Xenopus tropicalis: one gene and its partner. The protein of the gene in region 1 purifies or fractionates together with the protein of each later gene. This does not show direct contact. Links are inferred from orthologs where the notes say so. Each region holds a gene or a part of one and is shown in the gene's direction. Other genes may lie near its edges.

What was found. Proteins that work in one complex are often made in the same cells at the same time.
Region 2: the proteins of c17orf49 (region 1) and smarca1 purify together in Homo sapiens (affinity purification with mass spectrometry; 4 studies listed by BioGRID and IntAct, with this or other methods). This does not show direct contact. The link is inferred for Xenopus tropicalis from reciprocal best matches to the Homo sapiens genes BACC1 and SMARCA1.

What each region holds. Positions count from the first base shown.
Region 1 is NC_030679.2:142,452,926-142,464,163, forward strand, and holds c17orf49 (chromatin complexes subunit BAP18), read left to right. Parts: upstream 1-4,095; 5' UTR 4,096-4,271; coding exon 4,272-4,292; intron 4,293-5,859; exon of another isoform or gene 5,860-5,956; intron 5,957-6,071; coding exon 6,072-6,166; intron 6,167-8,015; coding exon 8,016-8,117; intron 8,118-8,611; coding exon 8,612-8,820; intron 8,821-9,065; coding exon 9,066-9,170; intron 9,171-9,690; coding exon 9,691-9,755; 3' UTR 9,756-10,075; downstream 10,076-11,238. UniProt on the Homo sapiens protein: Component of chromatin complexes such as the MLL1/MLL and NURF complexes.
Region 2 is NC_030684.2:50,388,353-50,398,903, reverse strand, and holds part of smarca1 (probable global transcription activator SNF2L1), read left to right. Parts: intron 1-3,669; coding exon 3,670-3,802; intron 3,803-4,201; coding exon 4,202-4,320; intron 4,321-6,894; coding exon 6,895-7,107; intron 7,108-10,551.

The sequences.
Region 1 (11,238 bases):
TTCATGTGAAATTATCCACTGGGACCAACCCCCCCCCCCCCCCCCCCCCCCCCCCCCCCCCCCCTCCGGTCCTATTGTGTTCTTGTATTTATGTGACTGTGCAATAAAGTGACAGTGTTCTGTGACCAACCCATGTCCCCTGTGCTTACAGACCTATACACGGGGGGTAGGTGCCATTGCTAAGCGCGCTATAGTGCCAGCCAAACGCCATGTTATCTTATATATGGACCAATATGGCCATATTATGTTATAGAATAGTCAATTCTAAGCAACTTTTCAATTGGTCTTCATTATTTATTTGTTATAGTTTTTTAATTATTTGTCTTTGCAGTTTTTAAACAGGGGTCACTGACCCCGGCAACCAAAAAACTATTGCTCTGTGAGGCTCCAGCTTTACTGTTATTGATACTTTTTGCAACTTTCTATTCAGTCCCCTCTCCTATTCATATACCAGTCTTTCATCCAAACCACTCCCTGGTTGATAAGGTAACTTGGACCCTAGCAACCAAATAGCTGGTTGTTAAGGTAACTTGGACCCTAGCAACCAAATAGCTGCTGACATGCCAAACTGGAGAGCTAAATGAAAATAATGAAATAACTAAAAATACTATCAAAAATGAAGATCAGTTGCAAATGGTCTCAGAATATTACTCTCTACATCATACTAAAGGCAGAGGGGCTTAAAGTCCCAGAATGCACCACCTCACAGTGGGAAAAGGTGAGGGAGGGAGGGGCTGCATGACCACTAGGGGCCTAATGGGAACTGGTTCTGTAAGCAGAGACACACTGCCGTGTTTATATGTATTTGTGAAAGGATGCCTACCCCCATATGTAATAAAGGGCACTAAGTTTGCCCAGTAGCAGTAACCCATAGCAACCAATAAGATTTTTTTTTTTTTTTAAAATCCTACCTGCTGATTGGTTGCTATGGGTTACTGCTCCTGGGCAAACTTAGTGCCTTTTATTATATAACCCCCATAGTGTTCATGCAACTGGATGAGCTCATGTGAAAAGAGGGGTATATTTTCCCTTTAGAACAACTCAAAAGGGAATCCAAACGCAACAATGAACTGACAGAAACTGCTACAAGAAGCAAATTAATATAAATTGCTCACAAAAGCAGCCTCACTAAGCTTATTAGGTATAGTTTTGGGAGTCAGCAATGCTAGGGTTAACTGAGTACAGGAGAGCTGCTGGGCTCAAATCCTGGTATTAGCAGCCTAAAACTGCAACTATCCGAACTATATAAATGAATGTAAGTTGCAGTTTTAAGATCACACTGAATATGCTCACATATGAATGGCAATGTTTCCAGACTTCAGTCCCTATATTACCCCACATGGCACACAGCGCCCAATTACAAATATATCTTTTATACTGACTCCATGAAAATCAAAGCATTTATGTTACTCGCTTCTGCCTACCCCCCCGGCTGCAATGAAGCAGAGGGCAGTCACCACATTGTGCCCAATATTAGATTTGCCACATACACTGTATAGCTGAAAATAATCCACATACTTCTTAATGCCGTGCCCACAGCTGGAACGCCCGAAACTGACTCCGGAAGCAACATCAGCTCCGTAACTACTGTAGGGCAAAGCCAAGCGTCCGCTGGAGTGGCGTAAAGGCGCCGCCATTGGACTGAGGAGAGATAAATGGCATTTCACCAGCTGGCAGGCTGATGGGAAAGTCACGGGGACACTATCTGCCCGAATGCATAATGGAAACGTTGGCTGGTAGAGGTGTATGATTGGCTGGGGCTGGGGCTGTTTCCATGGATTAAGCCCCTGGTTCCAGTGATACCTGAAGGCTACAGGGTACAATAGGGTAACCATATGTCTGGTTTTGACCCAGACAGCCCAGTTTTCAGAAGGACTGTCCAGGTCAAAACCTCCTTCCCAGTTTCCATACTGTCATAGCACCGCCCATTAACATCACAGCCCTGCTTCTCCAGCGCCCTATGGTGTCACAGCCCCGCCTCTACCCCGCCCCCAAGATATCAGGGCCCACCCCCTGCTCAGCGGCAAATGCCAGCAGAAGAGGCAACCCTAGGGTAGGGTGACCAGATGACTTGAAAATTCCGGGACACGTCTAATAAATACATGTTGCAGGACAGCACTGATTGTATTTAAATTAAACTGCAATCAGTTCAGCCCTGCCAGCTGGATTTTCTAGAAGTGTCCCTGAATTTTCAAGTCATCTGGTCACCCTACCCTAGGGTACAATGCCATTCGTGACAATTCTGCACTTTATACAATAGTCTGGAGAAGAGCTCTGAGCCTTAACCCAACTGAAGCCCTTTAAAGGAGAAGGAAAGGCAACAAAAGAGTTAATCCTACCATCCATTGTCTCAAAGGTGCCCTTAAGTCTCCCCATATAGTGATGGTTTACAGGTTTTGAAGCCAAACCGGACAAAAAATCGCTGAGCTGTGTGAATAAAGTTCCCATGATGCCTCTCTCCTTCGCAGACTTGACGACTTGTGAACAATGTGGATAAGCAGTGGGCGCGCACAAGCAGGCACGCTCTCCATTCAGCACCCTCTGCTCCCCAGTGGGAGCGGACCGTAGCAACGAGCGGCGGGGGCGCTGGTGGGGGGAGAGTTCCGAGCGGACCGTAGCAACGAGCGGTGGGGGCGCTGGTGGGGGGGAGAGGCAAGGGGGGAGAGTTCCGAGCGGACCGTAGCAACGAGCGGCGGGGGCGCTGGTGGGGGGAGAGTTCCGAGCGGACCGTAGCAAGCGAGCGGCGGGGGCGCTGGTGGGGGGAGAGGCAAGGGGGGAGAGTTCCGAGCGGACCGTAGCAAGCGAGCGGCGGGGGCGCTGGTGGGGGGAGAGGCAAGGGGGAGAGTTTCCGAGCGGACCGTAGCAAGCGAGCGGCGGGGGCGCTGGTGGGGGAGAGGCAAGGGGGGAGAGTTCCGAGCGGACCGTAGCAAGCGAGCGGCGGGGGCGCTGGTGGGGGGAGAGGCAAGGGGGGAGAGTTCCGAGTGGACCGTAGCAAGCGAGCGGCGGGGGCGCTGGTGGGGGGAGAGGCAAGGGGGAGAGTTCCGAGCGGACCGTAGCAAGCGAGCGGTGGGGGCGCTGGTGGGGGGAGAGGCAAGGGGGAGAGTTCCGAGCGGACCGTAGCAAGCGAGCGGCGGGGGCGCTGGTGGGGGGAGAGGCAAGGGGGGAGAGTTCCGAGCGGACCGTAGCAAGCGAGCGGTGGGGGCGATGGTGGGGGGAGAGGCAAGGGGGGAACGGACTGGAGTGAAGGAGCGAATGGGGGGGAACTGACAAAAGGAAGCGAGTGAACCAGAGGGGTGATGTGTGACAAGAGGGGGGCGGCGTTGTGCAGACGAGGACGCGAGCGTGTATGTTATGGATACACATAAGTAGATACACATAAGGATGCAGCTGCTGGGGGGGGGGGGGAGACACAGAAGGATGCGGGGGGCGCAGGGAGGATGTTGGGGGCGCATGCGCAGTAGAGACAGTGAGGGAAAGGGCGGCGCCGTTCACTGACACAAGTATGTAGAATGTAGCAGGTGTATCTTTCACTAGGCAAGCCAGGAATATAGTGTTTTTACTCAGCAATAGTAGTACTGTTTAATAGTGTGCTTCATAGATTTTGACTTTCCTTCTCCTTTCAGATGAACTGTAACCCCCCCCCCCTGCTGTGAGCCAGGCCTGATCCCCAACATCAGTGCCCACCTCTCACCTGTGCCAATCCCAGCAGCCATGTCCCACAGTCTATTAGAAACCCTCCCAGATGAATCCCATTGGTTATCATTGCTTATCATAGTTTTATTACTGTATCATTGCTAATAAAAGGCTCTGGGTACAATCTGAGAGGATAATTATTGTATGACTGCCAAAAAAAGGCTCTGGGTACACTCAGCCAATCAGAATACCTCACAGAAAAGACGAAACGACGCACTGACCAATAAGATTTATCCATTAGTAGTTTATCCAATAGGGATATAAAGACGCGTTAGCTCTTCCAATGGAATGAAAAAGGCGGGAACGAATCACGATTGACTACGTCTTTAGCCAATAGGGAAGTCCGTACCCGTCGTCCAATTGTAAGGACGGTACCAGACGCTTTTCGTGTCCGTGTTGCGGCGCCAGCATCGCGAACCAATACCAGCGAAGGAACTTTATACACACAACCAATAGGAAGCCGCGGATAGGCGAGCGCACAGAGGGAATAAGGAGCAGTGGCTTCGCCGCGACAATAACAGCAGCGGTTGTGACTGCCGGTCAGCTCGGTAACAGTGAGCCTTTCTCTCCCCGCAGCCATGACGTCAGCCTCCACCAAGGTACCCGGGAATGGGGACTTGACTCCTCATTGGCGGGGCGGGAGCATGTGACCTGTTTCTGGCCTAGGGTATGCTGGGAATTGTAGTTGAAACATAAATAAAGCCATATATTGTCTAAGTACTAGATAATAGCCTGCATACATAAGGACAGAGGAAAACTGCTCATTTATACTAATATAGGAGCCTTCAGTTTATAGCTGGTGGTGGATACTGGGAGTTGAAGTTCAATAGCAGTAGCACAGGGTGGGTAGTGTACAGCATTACTATGGCCATCTTATTAACCCCTTATTCTGTCTAACCAGTAGGGCTTCAGTATCAGAGGTGCCCATAGCAACCCCCCCCCATTAAAGGACACGTCAACCCCAAAAATATATATTTTTTTGCCTAATAAATAATAAATAATTTGTCGGGTTGACGTGTCCTCGGTGTTACTTGCTGCTATATAATAATAATAATAATAATCCCAGTCCTGCGCTTAAGGGCAAATGCCCATACCTGGTGCACTCTTACCTTCCAATTTGTGCCTGTATGTTACCCAACCACTTAGACTGTAAGCTCTACGGGGCAGGGACCTCCTTCCTACTGTGTCTCATACCACATGGCACTTATATATATATATACATATATGTATTTATTGTATTTATTTATTATATCACTTGCCCTCCCTGTGTGTAATTTTGTATTCTGTAAGACTGTACAGCGCTGTGTACCCTTGTGGCGCTTTATAAATAAAGTTATACATACATACAATAATAGAGTCCTATGTAGCGTTATATTACCACCACTCTCTTGTATTATCTGTACCACTAGGTGGCGCTCTGAGCTGCACTCGGCACAGATAGCACCCATTTTTTCTTTTTTTTTTCTTTTTTAAAAGCCCAAGGTCGTGCTTTCTTCCTAAGTGCAAAAAAGTGCAAAATCCACACAAAGTGCACGAAGGTGCATAGTTGGCCAGCCCCAAAAGGGACGATAGCCTCTGTACTCGTATCCACAGGCCAAAGGCGCGGCGAAGAACGAGTCTTCGAGCCCTCCTTCGCCGAAGCTAGGGAGGGCCCCTTTACATCCCCGACCCCCGGACCAAAAGGCTCACGGGGGCAAAGGTCTTCGGACTCTCCTTCGCCGCAAGGCTAGGGAGAGTCCCTTTCCTCCAGATTCCGCCGAGGCTTCCTCCGAGGTACAAAAACAACGTCTCGGGGAGAGACTGGAACCAGATGGCCACACAGTCCTCCCCTTGGTCTGTGGGGCATACCCGAATGGGCAACTGCACCCTCAAACCTATTAGAAGGGTCACACATAACAAAGTGCAGTGACAACACAAGGATTGCATAAATAGAAAATAAAAAAGTGCCCCAGCCTGACGGCCGGAATTATAAACATTTTCTTTGCTCTAGCCAAAAGGCCGGGGCAAAAGAAGCGAGTGTAGCATAAAAGTTAAAGTGCCATTGTGCAAAGTGCCGTACTTAGTGCAGCGTGAGCCACCACCTCACTGTGCTTTTTCGGGCACCCTGGGGTTGCTACTCCCAGGGCACGGCGCACCTCGGGCTTTCATGCTACCGGCCCTTTGGCCAGAGGATCAAGGTAGACTGTCTTATGTGGAGGGCCAGCCAAAACCCTCCTAAGAACAGATACTACACTTGATCTTAGCCAAAAGGCCGAGAAGCGATAGCACAGATAGCACCCATTTGTCAGTCACTAGAATGCTAAGCATGTGCCTTATTAGGGACAAACAAAGTCCCGTTTTGGCTGATAATGTTGCTTGTGTTTTATTGGTCCCTGTAGGTCGGGGAGATCTTTTCTGCTGCCGGAGCTGCCTTCACCAAACTGGGAGAGCTCACCATGCAACTCCATCCTGTGACTGATTCCTCTCCTGCTGGGTAATGGCCTCCTCTTGTAATAACTGTCTACATATGGGGAACCCCTCATATAAACTACTTGTTACAGGCCCCTCCCACTTACCCAGCATTCTGTGTGTGTGTGTGTCACATGGTATAAGTGTATCTGTGAGGTGAAACCCACCTAGATATGGGGAACCCCTCATATAAACTACTTGTTACAGGCCCCTCCCACTTACCCAGCATTCTGTGTGTGTGTGTGTCACATGGTATAAGTGTATCTGTGAGGTGAAACCCACCTAGATATGGGGAACCCCTCATATAAACTACTTGTTACAGGCCCCTCCCACTTACCCATCATTCTGTGTGTATGTGTCACATGGTATAAGTGTATCTGTGAGGTGAAACCCACCTAGATATGGGGAACCCCTCATATAAACTACTTGTTACAGGCCCCTCCCACTTACCCATCATTCTGTGTGTATGTGTCACATGGTATAAGTGTATCTGTGAGGTGAAACCCACCTAGATATGGGGAACCCCTCATATAAACTACTTGTTACAGGCCCCTCCCACTTACCCATCATTCTGTGTGTATGTGTCACATGGTATAAGTGTATCTGTGAGGTGAAACCCACCTAGATATGGGGAACCCCTCATATAAACTACTTGTTACAGGCCCCTCCCACTTACCCATCATTCTGTGTGTATGTGTCACATGGTATAAGTGTATCTGTGAGGTGAAACCCACCTAGATATGGGGAACCCCTCATATAAACTGCTTGTTACAGGCCCCTCCCACTTACCCATCATTCTGTGTGTATGTGTCACATGGTATAAGTGTATCTGTGAGGTGAAACCCACCTAGATATGGGGAACCCCTCATATAAACTACTTGTTACAGGCCCCTCCCGCTTACCCATCATTCTGTGTGTGTGTGTCACATGGTATAAGTGTATCTGTGAGGTAAAACCCACCTAGATATGGGGAACCCCTTATATAAACTACTTGTTACAGGCCCCTCCCACTTACCCATCATTCTGTGTGTATATGTCACATGGTATAAGTGTATCTGTGAGGTGAAACCCCCCTAGATATGGGGAACCCCTCATATAAACTACTTGTTACAGGCCCCTCCCACTTACCCATCATTCTGTGTGTATGTGTCACATGGTATAAGTGTATCTGTGAGGTGAAACCCACCTAGATATGGGGAACCCCTCATATAAACTACTTGTTACAGGCCCCTCCCATTTACCCATCATTCTGTGTGTATGTGTCACATGGTATAAGTGTATCTGTGAGGTGAAACCCCCCTAGATATGGGGAACCCCTCATATAAACTACTTGTTACAGGCCCCTCCCACTTACCCAGCATTCTGTGTGTATGTGTCACATGGTATAAGTGTATCTGTGAGGTAAAACCCACCTAGATATGGGGAACCCCTCATATAAACTGCTTGTTACAGGCCCCTCCCACTTACCCATCATTCTGTGTGTCTATGTCACATGGTATAAGTGTATCTGTGAGGTAAAACCCACCTAGATATGGGGAACCCCTCATATAAACTACTTGTTACAGGCCCCTCCCACTTACCCATCATTCTGTGTGTGTGTGTCACATGGTATAAGTGTATCTGTGAGGTGAAACCCACCTAGATATGGGGAACCCCTCATATAAACTACTTGTTACAGGCCCCTCCCACTTACCCATCATTCTGTGTGTATGTGTCACATGGTATAAGTGTATCTGTGAGGTAAAACCCACCTAGATATGGGGAACCCCTCACCTTACGGGCCCCTCCCATTTACCCATCATTCCAGTATGTATGCCCCCCCTTTTCTCCCATGCCCCCTGTGTGACTCCTGGTTTCCTGTTGTGTCTCCCCAGGGCCCGCTGGACAGACACAGAGATTCAGATGTTGCATGCGGCTGTCAAACGCTTCGGGGAAGACTTAAATCAGATCAGCTCAGTTATCAAGGAGAGGACAGTGTAAGGAAAGCCGGCGGACTTTCCAGAAAAATGGGAAGGATTAAAGGGGATATAAACCCAACAATACGACGTTACCTTATGAAAGAAAATGACACTTCCCAATATATATATATTCACTGCACATTTTTGGGTTTACATCCCCTTTAAGTGCAGCCTCAGGGGCTTTGCAGCTCTGTGTCTGGAAAGGCCGGCTCTGGGGAGGGAGCTGCTATGTTGCTGTTTCTCTATATTAGGGATTGTAGGGGGTGCCTATTGGCACGTAACTCTAGTGCTTATACCGACCAGGTATTGGGCAGTTCCAGACATGTGACAGCTGCTAGACACGCCAAGTGCGACGGTGCCTTCACACTGGCCCCTTTCCCAGCAGCCAATGTAGGTTTAGGACATCAGTCAGGGAGCTTAGGGTCCCTTGCCCCTTGTGTTTCTGCCCCTCCTCCCTTTTTTCCCCCTTATACTCTCTGCCTCTCCTTCATGCCCCTTTTGTCCTCCGCCAGGGCCCAGATTAAGTTCGCCGTGAAGAGGAAGATTTACGATGATAACGGCGTCCCTCTGACCAGCGACTCCCCGAGGAAGTCGATAAAGAAAGCGTCGCCCGTGTCCTCCTCTGTGCCCGCCAACATGTCCGTGTCGGCGCCGCAGGTCGTGGGTGGCACCTCTCTCCCTGACGGCTCACAAGGAGCCATGAAGAAGCGCAAGTCATCAGGTGGGTGAATTGGCAGCGAGTGTGTACTGTGAGTACGGTGGCCCGGAGGGCACAGAGAAGGGCCACTGCCTAATGAGGCTGCTGTATAAATCTAGGGGTACCGCAGCTCTATGACAATAAAGAAATATTCCCTTATGGCTGTGTTCAGGGGCTTATGGGAAGATTTCTTTGTTGTCTTTCTTAGTTTGTCCTTTAGATTTAACTCCCCACCCCCCCGTGTGCCCTCCCCTCTCTCGTTCCAGCAGATGTGACTCTCAGCGCGCTTAATGACTCCGATGCAAACAGTGACCTGGTGGATATAGAGGGCTTGGGCGACAGAAGTACGGTGAAAAAACTCAACTTTGATCAGGGTGTGCTACGTGCAAATGTTTCCCCTTCCTTTGCCTGCCCTCTCTCTCCTATTCTGAGCTAAACTCCCTTCCCCCCTGACATGTACCCCCCAGCCCACCCACCACTTTCTCTCCTTCTCTCCTACATGCATTACTGTGAGTGCAGGCATATAGAATGGCCAACTCAGGCTAAGGTGCTGAACGGGGGCCTTAACTGGCCAGGTATTTCATCTGGGGAGCTACTAGAGGAGACTATATTGATGGAGTTTTTATACTCCCCCTATTATTGCATTGGGTTCCTGCAGGTACCCCTGTTTCCTCCCACCCCATACATACAGGCAGGTTAACTGGCTTCTGATTGGCTCTTATGTGTGAAAGTGATAGGGCCCTTAGATTGTAAGCTACCCTTCCATCCGATGCTTGCATTCTATAAACCAGCGACTGGTTGCATGATGGGGGGGGTTATACGGTGCATGACGGGGGCCCATTTTTCTTCTCCCTTTCTCTCACCCATAATAATATTCTTCCCTCTCCCTTTCAGATAGCCTAAACCTGGATCCCAGTTTCATCATGAACTCAGGGGACCTGCCGCTCTTATCTCGCTGATTATCCCGGCCCGTGTTGCCCCCCCCCCCACCGTTTGTGTAAATAGGCCCTGTATAAACCCCGCCCCCTCCCACAGTGCTTGTGTTCCTTTGTTAGTATCTAGAGCCCGGTGCTGGTTCCGGAGCCAAAGCCAACGCTGGGCTGCAACAGATGTTTTTTATGAAGAGAAGGAACATTCCGGCCTGTTCCAGGTCAGTTGCACTCCCAGGGGTTGCAGGGAGTAGCCGCGGGAGAGTTTCTGGGAGTGTATCCCTTCTTAGTGATGTAAAATACTGACTGAGGCTTTTTTTATATTGATAAGAATAAAAGGTGTAAATACATTGCCAGTGTCTGTCAAATGCATCCTTTCCATAGGGGGTCCCCCTTGTCCAGGCCCGGACTGGCAATCTGTGGGTTCAGGCAAATGCCAGAGGGGCTGCTGTAAGGTGCCATAGACACTCACTATTTATTGGGCTGCTGGGGGGCTGTTTGGGCCTCTGTGTACTGAAAATCAGGCCCGGACTGGCAATCTGTGGGTTCAGGCAAATGCCAGAGGGGCTGCTGTAAGATGCCATAGTCACTCACTATTTATTGGGCCTATGGGGGGCTGTTTGGGCCTCTGTGTACTGAAAATCAGGCCCGGACTGGCAATCTGTGGGTTCAGGCAAATGCCAGAGGGGCTGCTGTAAGGTGCTATAGACACTCACTATTTATTGGGCCTATGGGGGGCTGTTTGGGCCTCTGTGTACTGAAAATCAGGCCCGGACTGGCAATCTGTGGGTTCAGGCAAATGCCAGAGGGGCTGCTGTAAGGTGCTATAGACACTCACTATTTATTGGGCCTATGGGGGGGGCTGTTTGGGCCTCTGTGTACTGAAAATCAGGCCCGGACTGGCAATCTGTGGGTTCAGGCAAATGCCAGAGGGGCTGCTGTAAGGTGCCATAGACACTCACTATTTATTGGGCCTATGGGGGGCTGTTTGGGCCTCTGTGTACTGAAAATCAGGCCAGGGCTGGCAATCTGTGGGTTCAGGCAAATGCCAGAGGGGCTGCTGTAAGGTGCCATAGACACTCACTATTTATTGGGCTGGTGGGGGGCTGTTTGGGCCTCTGTGTACTGAAAATCAGGCCCGGACTGGCAATCTGTGGGTTCAGGCAAATGCCAGAGGGGCTGCTGTAAGGTGCCATAGTCACTCACTATTTATTGGGCTGCTGGGGGGGCTCTTTGGGCCTCTGTGTACTTGAAATGCCAGGGCCTATTTTGAATCCCATTCCGGACCTCCCCAAACATATATATCTATATCCCCGTCTCTTCCATACGCGCCTGTACTGACTAATGAATGGTGACCCCTCTGCTGGTAGAAGGCGGTATTGCAGAAGATGTGCTTGTTCCGTGGCCCGGGGGATATTTATAACTCGGGTGGGATCCAAGGCATCATTTCAATATTTTTTTAACCACTTACAGTCTGGGTGGGCATCTTGCCCCCTTCTTGAGCTGCCGATTT
Region 2 (10,551 bases), on another chromosome or scaffold:
AAGCTTGAATGGCTGCCCCCGTGGCTATATTGCAGTTTATTTGTATAAACTATAGTAGTGTTTTTGAAGTAAACACACCAATGCAGAGCAAAAGTATATTAGATTTAATACTTTCATATTTTTAGTTTACTGTTCCTTTAAGACTAAAATACTGATTATATATAAAAGAAGATTAAATTGTATTTGCATACTTTTGGTGCATAGCAGTCAGTTTCTTCAAGGGATTCTGTCATGACTTTTAAGGTTTACTTTTTATTTTTAAATTACACTGTTTACATAGCAAATAATACATTCTACCATTTAAAATGTTATTATTGAACCAACAAATGTATTTTTTTCTCTGTAATATTGGTGTTTAGACAGTGATCTCAGTGCATTTTGCCTAATTCTGAGCTTTCTCATATCTAACACTGGGGGGCATGGGAGCATTTTTAGCAATGCAGGAATGCAGGTATCAGGTAGCTGTTATCCTGTTACCTTCCATTGTTCTGCTTATCAGCTGCTGGGGAGGGGGTGATAGTTCTCCAACTTGCAGCTCAGCAGTAAAGAGCGACTAAAGTTTATCAGAACAAAAGTCACATGGCCGAGGGCACCCCGTAAACTAAAAACATGTCCAGCCAATGTCAAATTTTAAAATTAAATATAAAAAAAAAAATCTGTTTGCAGGATTCTGCTGGAGCAACTCAATTTACTGATACGTTTAAAAAAATGTGTTTTCCCTTGACAAAACCACTATAACTGCATGTTTTATATTTGGCGCATTTTGCATTAAAGTTTTTGCCCATGAATTTGAACTGTATTGTTCATCAGTTGTCAAGATGTTTTACCATGTTGGGAAAGCTGTTCTTGGAGTAGAGAATCTACACTGCAAAAGTGGTTAAATGTAGGGGAATTGGATATGGCTAGTACACCCAACCAATACTCTACCCCCAATCTGGAAGGGCTATAGAATTGACACAACAATTGACAGCTGCCTGCCCTGATCTTTTGCCTGGAAACAACCACAAACTTGGTCCCAACTCCAACCTGTAAGCCGCTAAGCCCTGACAAGAAGGCAGTGAATCACCTTTTCTCTGCTAGTGTATATACGAATTAAGCAGACAAAAAGAATAAATATCAGGGGCAGGGCTGCCATCAGAAATCATGGGTCCCCTCACAACAAAATTTTCTGCCCCACCTCCTCCCACGCCCTGCCCCCCAATGGCCCCTCCCCCAGTGACCCCTGCCATCAGTACAAAGGACACACAGACATTGTTAGCCAGGGCCCCCTAAAACATTGGTAGCCAGGACCCCCCTAAACATTGGTAGCCAGGGGTTACATTTTGCATTGGTGCCAGCCCAGGGCCCCCTAAAACATTGCTGGTCCTCCCCCAGTGTCCTCATACTATGGCCCACTCCCCACAAATATTTGTGTTTGTGATCAGTTAGCTTAAAGGTAGTGCTGGGCGGTATGACCAAAAATTTATATCACGGTATTTTTTTTATTATATCGGTATCACGGTATTTGACGGTATTTTTTTTTCCCCATGCATGATTACGTGACCACCCCAAACACCCCCCCCCCCAACCCCAAACACCCCCCCATCCAACCCCAAACACCCCCCCATCCAACCCCCCATCCAACCCCAAACACCCCCCCATCCCCTTCACATAAATAAACCTTACGGGCCAGGCAGCCGCAGGCACCCCCGACAGCTCACAGAGCCTCCTGGCAATTTTTCTTACTATTTCCGGGTTGCGCGCGTGACGTCAGCGTGCGCGTGACGTCAGCGCGCACGTAACGTCAGCGCGCACAACCCGGAAATAGTAAGAAAAATTGCCAGGAGGCGCCCACACCGGTATGCCGGTAAGTTAAAATTTTTTATCATCTTTTTTAAAAAAACCGGTGTTCGGTATATACCGGTATACCGCCCAGCACTACTTAAAGGGGTAGTTTATCTTTAAATTTACTTTTAATATAATGTAGACTGATATTCTGAGACAATTTGCAAGTGCTCCTCTTTTATTTTTAATGGTTTTTCAGTTATTTAGCTTTTTGTTAAGCAGCTCTCCATTTGGTATTTCAGCAGCTATGTGGTTGCTAGGATTTTATTTACCCTAGCAACCAGGTAGTGGTTTAAACAAGAGATGGAAATATGAATTGTTAAGGGGCCTGCATGGAAAAATAAGTAATAAAAAAAAAGGACAGTAATAATAAAATTGTAGCCTCACACAGCAATAATTTTTGGCACCCATTTGAATGCTGGAAAGAGGCAGAAGAGAAAAGCAAATTATTCAAGAACTATAAAAAAAATATAATAGGAAGACCAATTGCAAAGTTGCTAGGAATAGGCCATTTTATAACATACTAAAAGTTATCTTAAAAGTGAACCCCCCCTTTAGATGTGTTTACTTTAGTTTTATAGCAAGAAAGGCAGCGGGTACTGACACCCCACGCACATTATATACAGGGAGACGCAGTCTGTATTTACAAAACCAGCACATAATATGCAGTGAGGCGCAGTCTGTATTTACAAAACCAGCACATTATATGCAGTGAGACGCAGTCTATATTTACAAAACCAGCACATTATATGCAGTGAGGCACAGTCTATATTTACAAAACCAGCACATTATATGCAGTGAGGCGCAGTCTGTATTTACAAAACCAGCACATTATATGCAGTGAGACGCAGTCTATATTTACAAAACCAGCACATTATATGCAGTGAGATGCAGTGGGTACTGATTGCAGATATTCAGGCCCTGGCACTATAACACTGGCACTGTAACACAACATTGGCCCCACTGTAACTAACTAGAAATGAACAAAACAATGACAAAAGAAATAAAATAGTAAAAAAAATAGTAAGTGTAAAAAAAAAACAACAAACATATAAAAGCACAATGAGCTTTTTCAGGGGGAAAGAGTTAACTTACCATCCATCTGTTAGGATAGGTGATAGGGATATTATAGATGTCAGGTCAGGCAAATAACAATTTAATTTGAGCTAGTGATTCAGCCTATAGAACTTTATAGTACCTGTAGGAGTGGGATGAAATCTGCAGCAAAAGTTGACAGTTGGTTCTCATGTTTCCCCCTTCCCAGCATCCTCCAGCTCCCCCTCCCCAGCATCCTCATTTCCCCCCTCAGCATCCTCCAGCTTCCCCCTCCCAGCATCCTCCAGCTCCCCCTCCCCAGTATCCTCGTTTCCCCCCTCAGCATCCTCCAGCTTCCTCCTCCCAACATCCTCCAGCTCCCCCCCTCAGCATCCTCCAGCTCCACTCCTCAGCATCCTGTAGCTTCCCCCCCTCAGCATCTTCCAGCTCCACTCCCCAACATCCTGCAGTTCCCCCCCTCAGCATCCTCCAACTCCTCCCTTACCAGCATCCTACAGCTCCCCCCCTCAGCATCCTGTAGCTCCCTACAGCTCCCCCCAGCTCCGACCTTCTACTTCCGCCTGCTTCATCGTCCTTCAGTTCGTCTGTCCCCAGCTCCCCGCTGCAGCCCTCACTTTTATACTGTTGCGCCCTGTGTGTACTAACGCTACGTGCACGCACGGGGTGCAACCAATCAGGTCCCGTAATTCTAAAGAACAAGGAGGGTTAAAGCTTTGCACATGTGTAGAGTTGCTGTGGAAATATTTTGGTGAAACATAATGGCACTTATTTATTTGTTCTGGTTGATAGGGCTTCACAAATTGGAACAAACGAGACTTTAACCAGTTTATTAAAGCTAATGAGAAGTATGGCCGTGATGACATTGATAACATTGCAAGAGAGGTGGAAGGAAAGACACCAGAAGAAGTTATGGATTATTCAGGTTTGCTTACTTAAGAGATCCCTTATATTTATGTAGCCTTGTTTTTCCATCTTTAGCTAAATTTGGTTGGGAACTTTAACCAATTTTGACCATAATGTTTGATCATTTTGACATGTGTATCAGGTCTGGGTCCTCTGCACTCACCCACTATAAATATATATATATATATATATATATATATAGGACATTAAGACATTCTGTGCATTGAACTACTAAGAAATGCCCTCCCCCTTAAGCAAAATAGGAATTATTTGTCCATATACTGCAATATACTGCAAGCTGGCCAACTACGTCAAAGTCATCCGCCATCTTTATTACCGAATATATCACTCCCCCCTGTGAATTTTGGACTTCATTTTCACTTATTTAATATAACGTGTCTATCTGATTACTTTTTAGGAGTGTTTTGGGAACGCTGTAATGAACTTCAAGACATTGAGAAGATTATGGCTCAGATAGAGCGCGGTGAAGCAAGAATTCAAAGAAGGATCAGTATCAAGAAAGCCTTGGATGCCAAAGTATTGCAATCCACTATATTTACTCAAAGAATGAATTTATAGCTTTTAGTATTTTTTTATAGAGCATTAATGATCATTTCAGGTTTAAAGGAGAAGGAAAGGCTAGTAAAGAGTTAATCTCAAAATGCAGGCATACCTTCAGTTCTCTCAATAGTGCCCTTAAGTCTCCCCATATTTCTCCCGTTTAGAGGATCAGAAGCCAAACAGTAAGGAAAAACGCTAAGCTGGGTAGAGAAGATTCCCATAATGCATCGCTCCTCCCCAGACTCGGCGACTCAGAACTGTAGGCGGCGCATGCGCAGAAACAGGAGGCTCCCCCTAGCATCTGCAGCATGAGACACAGGTGCTGGTAGGGGAAGAGGCAAGGGGGGATGCGAGCGGAGCGGGTGGCAGTGGACGCAGCTCCAGGTGAAGGTAGAAGGCACTGTAAAGGTAGAAGCCGGTGGGGGGGGGCGAGGGGTGGTGGTGCTAGGTATTTTGCCTCTGTTTAATACTGCTGACTTTCTCTGATGCTTCTCATTTAGGAGCGATCTTACTGTAATTTAATTATCCTTCGACTTGCTGAAGTTTATTGAGAATTCAAGGATGTAGCTTGACATTCCTGTCCTAAAGTGGTTAACTGCAGCAGCTACCTAATCTTGGGCCGAATGCATTACTGTCACCTTTTTTCGGGCAAAGTGGTAGTAGATGGGCCGGTGGTGGTGCTGCTAGTGTACACATACTGCAGCTGCTGGGGGGTTGTCACAGAAGGACGCAGGGGGGAGCAGGGGGGCGTATGGAGGATTTTGGGGACGCATGCGCAGTAGAGACAGTGAGGAAAGAGGAGTGGGCATCCCTTGTTAAAGATGGAGGCGCCGTTCACTGAAACAAGTATGTAGAATGTAGCAGGTGTATCGCTGTAAATCTTTCATTAGGCAAGCTAGAAATATAGTGTTTTTACATAGCAATAGTAGTACTATTTAATAGTGTGGTTAATAGATTTTGACTTTCCTTCTCCTTTAAGAAGCTATTTTCTAACATGGATAAATGTTTTTCATTATATATTCATTATTGGGCTTTATTGATTCTGTGGGGTGTTGGAGCTCAGTGCTGTTGCTGAGCTCTTACAACCCACATAACAGAACAATGTTCTGCTGACCAAAGCAGTCAAACATTATTAGCAACTGACACATTCATCTGCTTTAATTAATGTCAGTTTGCTAAACTTTCCTGACGGTCGGCAAAGTGTTAAGTAACTGAAAACATTTCCTTTACGATTCCAGAGTTTGAATTTTACATCTGACATTGTCTTAAAGAGATATTGACACCAGAAATAAAACCTTTTTTACATCTATCATAACACTGGCTTTGCATGCTATTTATAATTTTGCCTTAAAAGTATTTGCCCAGTGCTTTTACATTCCCTATCTGATCCCCCATGTACCTCTATGAGGGGGCGGCCATATTAGTGCTGCAGGAGTCCATTATCATTAGAAGCTATAACTGACAGGCTGAGAAGGGACAGTCAGGTTGGCAAAACTTCAGGTAACAATTACTTACAAAAGCAGCCCTATTAGCAAAAAACATGACCTATAGGGAACTTTTTATGTAGATTCATATTCTCAGAAGTAATTTTTTCATGTCAGTATCACTTTAATCCAGCAAATACTGCCACTATATTTATAGTAGTTATAACAGTTGCTAATCCTGCTGTTTACATAAGCTGGTTATAGATAAATTTATATATATAGTAAATTCCATTTAGGTTTTTAACAAAATATTTGAAAAGATGCAAAAGACTGATACAGTAGTCATAACACAATAAGAAAGGATTGAGTACACGTTCTTAAAATGTACAGGGGCGCTAAGGGCTCTAACAGTAAATCTGCAGACAGAAGTTGCTTCTCTCGGGTTTATGTATAAAAAGTGCATAAACGCTATCTGAACTTCAAGAAATAAATATAAATCTATTGCAGTACATGTGTGTAATCCAACTCCTGTCCACCTATCACCTTGTCCCATTGTGAAGTGATGAATTCTGGGACTTGAACTCCTTTTGCTATCCATAGCGGGTGGTGCATGAATTCTCTGAAAAGTAGTGGGACTTCAAGTGCCAGAAGCAATCGCTTCACAATGGGATAAGGTGATGGAGGGGTTGGATCAGTCTGTAAGACTAAAGGCGGGGTAAGGAACTGGTCTGTAAAACACAAGTAGACGATCATGGTTTCCACTAAAACGGAGGAATTAAAAAACACATTTCTGTTTAAATCTGGAAGTTAAGATTTGTGTACCTTTTCTACATAAGCCCAATTGAATGAGCTTATGACAAAAAGGGGGGGGGGCCATATAAAGAAATATATTCCCTTTAAATTCTTCAAGCAGAACTGATAATTATTTTAGAGGGGAAGTACACACCCTTTTCAGCATGAGTTCATGTGCTAAACACACTTTTTCCTTAGTATTTTAGGGAAAGGCATTTGGCTCGGAACATTAAATATGTGTTTATAGTGATTTCTAGAAGGTAGGCTGGAGGTTTTCACTTTTTGGTGAATTAATGTGGGGATTAATAAGAATATTGTTCTTTGTTGTGTTTAGATTGCAAGGTACAAAGCTCCTTTTCATCAGCTGAGAATCCAGTACGGCACAAACAAAGGCAAAAACTATACAGAAGAAGAGGACAGGTTTCTCATATGCATGCTTCATAAAATGGGCTTTGATAAGGAAAATGTATACGAGGAATTACGTCAGTGCGTGCGAAATGCTCCTCAGTTTAGGTTTGATTGGTTTATCAAATCAAGGACTGCCATGGTAAGCATACTTCTATTTTAATTGCTTGATGTAAAGCTTCAGTTTCTGTTCATCATACTAATTGTAGTGAAGTGTCTTCCCCAGAAATCCTGCATAACTATGTACTTGTTTATAGATCCCCACTTATCTGGTAGTTTTGGACTAGCAAAATTCCAGATTATAAATAAAACACTGTTGTTACCCTACTTATAATATGAATTAGCTCTCTAAAACTATATCCCCAGAATGAATACTTAACCAACAGATAATTTGTATAATATTAAGTGGCCTGTTAAAGAGCATTACCACACTGGAATATGAATATGAATAGCAGTTAATATTTCCGTTCTTCTATTTTTACTTGAGCCACCGTTTTGTGATGGTCCGTGTTCTCCCTCAGAAGTCACCTGACAGGAAATAATGCACCTGTAACAGGAAGAAGCGTGGGAGCAAAAGACAGAACTTTAAATGAGCTCATGTGACCTAGCATGTATGTGTGTCCAGTAAATTGTATGCTCCCAGCGGGCAGCCCATAGTACTTAAAATCACAATTTTCTATTTAGGGCTACCCAAAGCACATACTACAGTACTAAAAAAGTATATTTTTATGAAAATGGTTTATTTAGCTGAAACAGTATTTTACATATGAGCTTATTTATGCAATATATTAATGTAGAGACCTACATTGTTCAGGGGAAGAGTTTTGCTTTAAAGCTTTTCCTCTAATTGCTGAACCTCATTATTTTTTATCTCAGTATCTGAGCATTCATATAATGATCATTTTTGACGTTAACCTTACAATTTTGAAATCAGAACCATAGAGCAACTCAATCAAATTTCTATGACTTTTCTATACTTAAATACATCTTTCCAGCACATAAACCCCAAAGCACTAACCGATGACAGGGCAAAAAGAAAAATGAGAGCGGGCCACAGCTATCACTTTATTTTTATTGTCAAAAATGTCTCAAAGTTTTCAGCTCTGTTTAGTAAGCAAATATAAATAAATGTCTCGCTTACAAGTGAAAAACTGCTGAAAGATTTAAACCTTGCCACTGAAATGTGTGCCTATTGGAAATAATATACAGAGGGAGAACATATTTTTTTGCTGTTTAAACAATAAGATTGCTGGAAACTTTTACCAAACTGCTCTATAGATTCCATGCAGATTCAAGTTTTGTAAATGTCAATGTTAATCAGGAGGAATGGAGGAATTAACCAGTGTTAATCAGATGGAGGAATACCATGTACTTATCAATAAATCTAGTGACTTGTTTGAAGGCCTTATGAGCATATAGTAAGAATAATAAATAGCTAATTTGCTTAGAAAATTTGATGGCAACCATATGATGTAATATTTTTTTATTATTTTATACACATTGCATTAACATTTAAGTGTACTGTGTACATTATAAGAAGAAAAACATAAATATAGTGTGCAGGTTTTGACCCATTTAACTACTCGATGCACTAAAATATCTCACAGTATGTGTTTAGTGTATTCTAATTAACTAAGGTTTATTGGGAATTGCAGAGTAGTAGCATTTTCTACACTGGCAGAACATTCTATATTAATATTAATCTCCATTTGCTCTAGAGGAATAAAGTTAATATGTAATATAAAGTTTTATTATAGCTTTCTTTGTCCTTTTCCATCTCACAGTGGGGATAGGAGAGTTGAAATAGGGTTATACAAACTATGAAACTTTATTTTGGCATTAATTGAACATAAGTGGGCTTAGTGCCTTCAATTCAATGTCAATTGGTGTAACTATAAAGGAAAAGGCCCCTCTAGGTCTGCTTCTGCTATGGCTGTAGAGAAATCCCCCCTCCTCGGGTGCTTTCCTACCTTAGAGCAAGCAGGGAGAGGGGGACATGACCAGATGGGGGGATGTGACCAGGCAAGTGTCATTGTGTATGTACTGGAAGGGAAGGGGCAGCTAAAATAAATAAGGGACATATTTGTTTCAGTTATAACAGGAAATAGGGGATAGAGGGGGTAAGTATTGAGGCATACTTTGCTTTAAAGGAGCAGTGTAAATAGAAAAAGAGGGGGTGTGTTTTTGTATATTAATTATAATTTAACACCCAGAAAACAGGAAGAAGCTGTAGTAAGAATGAATAAAATCCCTTTTCCTTTCTGTATCACAGAGAAGCCAGATTACAGTTTTACTTGAAGAGATCACATTCAAGCTTATATCCTGGAGAATGGCATTATGGGTAGTAATAATGTAGTTATAAGTAGCAATCTGCATAGTTGTCAGTTTAAGAAAAGGTTAGATGCCTTTTTAGCAGATAAGAAATACATTACTGCCCAGTTACATTAGGGAACGAGGAAGATTTTTCTGCAGCAGACTGAAAACTGCTTAAAAGATTCAGTTTTTTCACCTTCCTCTATCAGTAGAAGTTGAATAATAATAATAATAATAAGGCCAATAAAATGGTGGCAAACGTTTTACTCTTTTAATTTAGTCTACTAAGGTTTAATTTGCTGACCCCAGAAGAAAAATCAAGGAGGCCTATATCTACATTAAAGCAAGCACTAACCAAAAACCAGGAAAGATAACAAAAAAGGCAAGGATCTTTGAAAGAATGAGATCATGTTTGAAGCTGTCAGTTTTACTTTAAGTGGAAATGACTTGAAAGCATTTGGAGGAGGAAAATAAGTTAATTGACCCAGCTCTGATTTCTCTGCAAAATACCTGAAATTGAACATACATCAGTTAACGGAATAATCATACACTGTGTTACAAACGCAGTGTATATGCTGTACAGTCAAAAAGCATGTTTTCTATTTCAAATACAGTTAATAGGTGATGTTTACGTAACACATAAGGGAAAAGGGTAATGCAGATTATAATATATAAAGCTACATATATATATACATATATATATTTTTTAATATACATATCATTTCTTATATATAAGGTTTATGGGCTATTATGTGTCGGACATCAAATAACCAAATTTTCAGTACTTTTACTGCAGTAAATTCTGCCACTCCTAATAGACATTTGCATGCAGAAATCTGGTCTGGCCACTAGATGTCTCTCAATGCAAATGAGTATGTTAGCACATATTTTCTGTTTTCAGTTCCATCATCGGTTTTGATCCTTTAGGTTGTGGCTGTAGTTCCCAACTGCATATACATCAGGAAGAAAAATCCAGGGGTCCTGCAGTTGTTACGACTGATGACTGCCGAGAATTAAGGACACTATTAAAGTAGCTCTCTGTCCCCAAAAAAATCACATTCTCTGAAGGAGAACAAAATAACTTTGTTTGGGGAATGGCAACTTTTTATATTTATTGTTTACTGCAGTGGTGCCAGAACTGTCAAATGACAACTATACTCTCAAATTCAGCATGTAAATTAGCAGTCCCCTGTGTGTAGGTTGATTTGTAGTTGACAAAAACAAAGAAAGTTATACAATATATAGAGAGATCCCCTGGGGCAGATTTATTGTG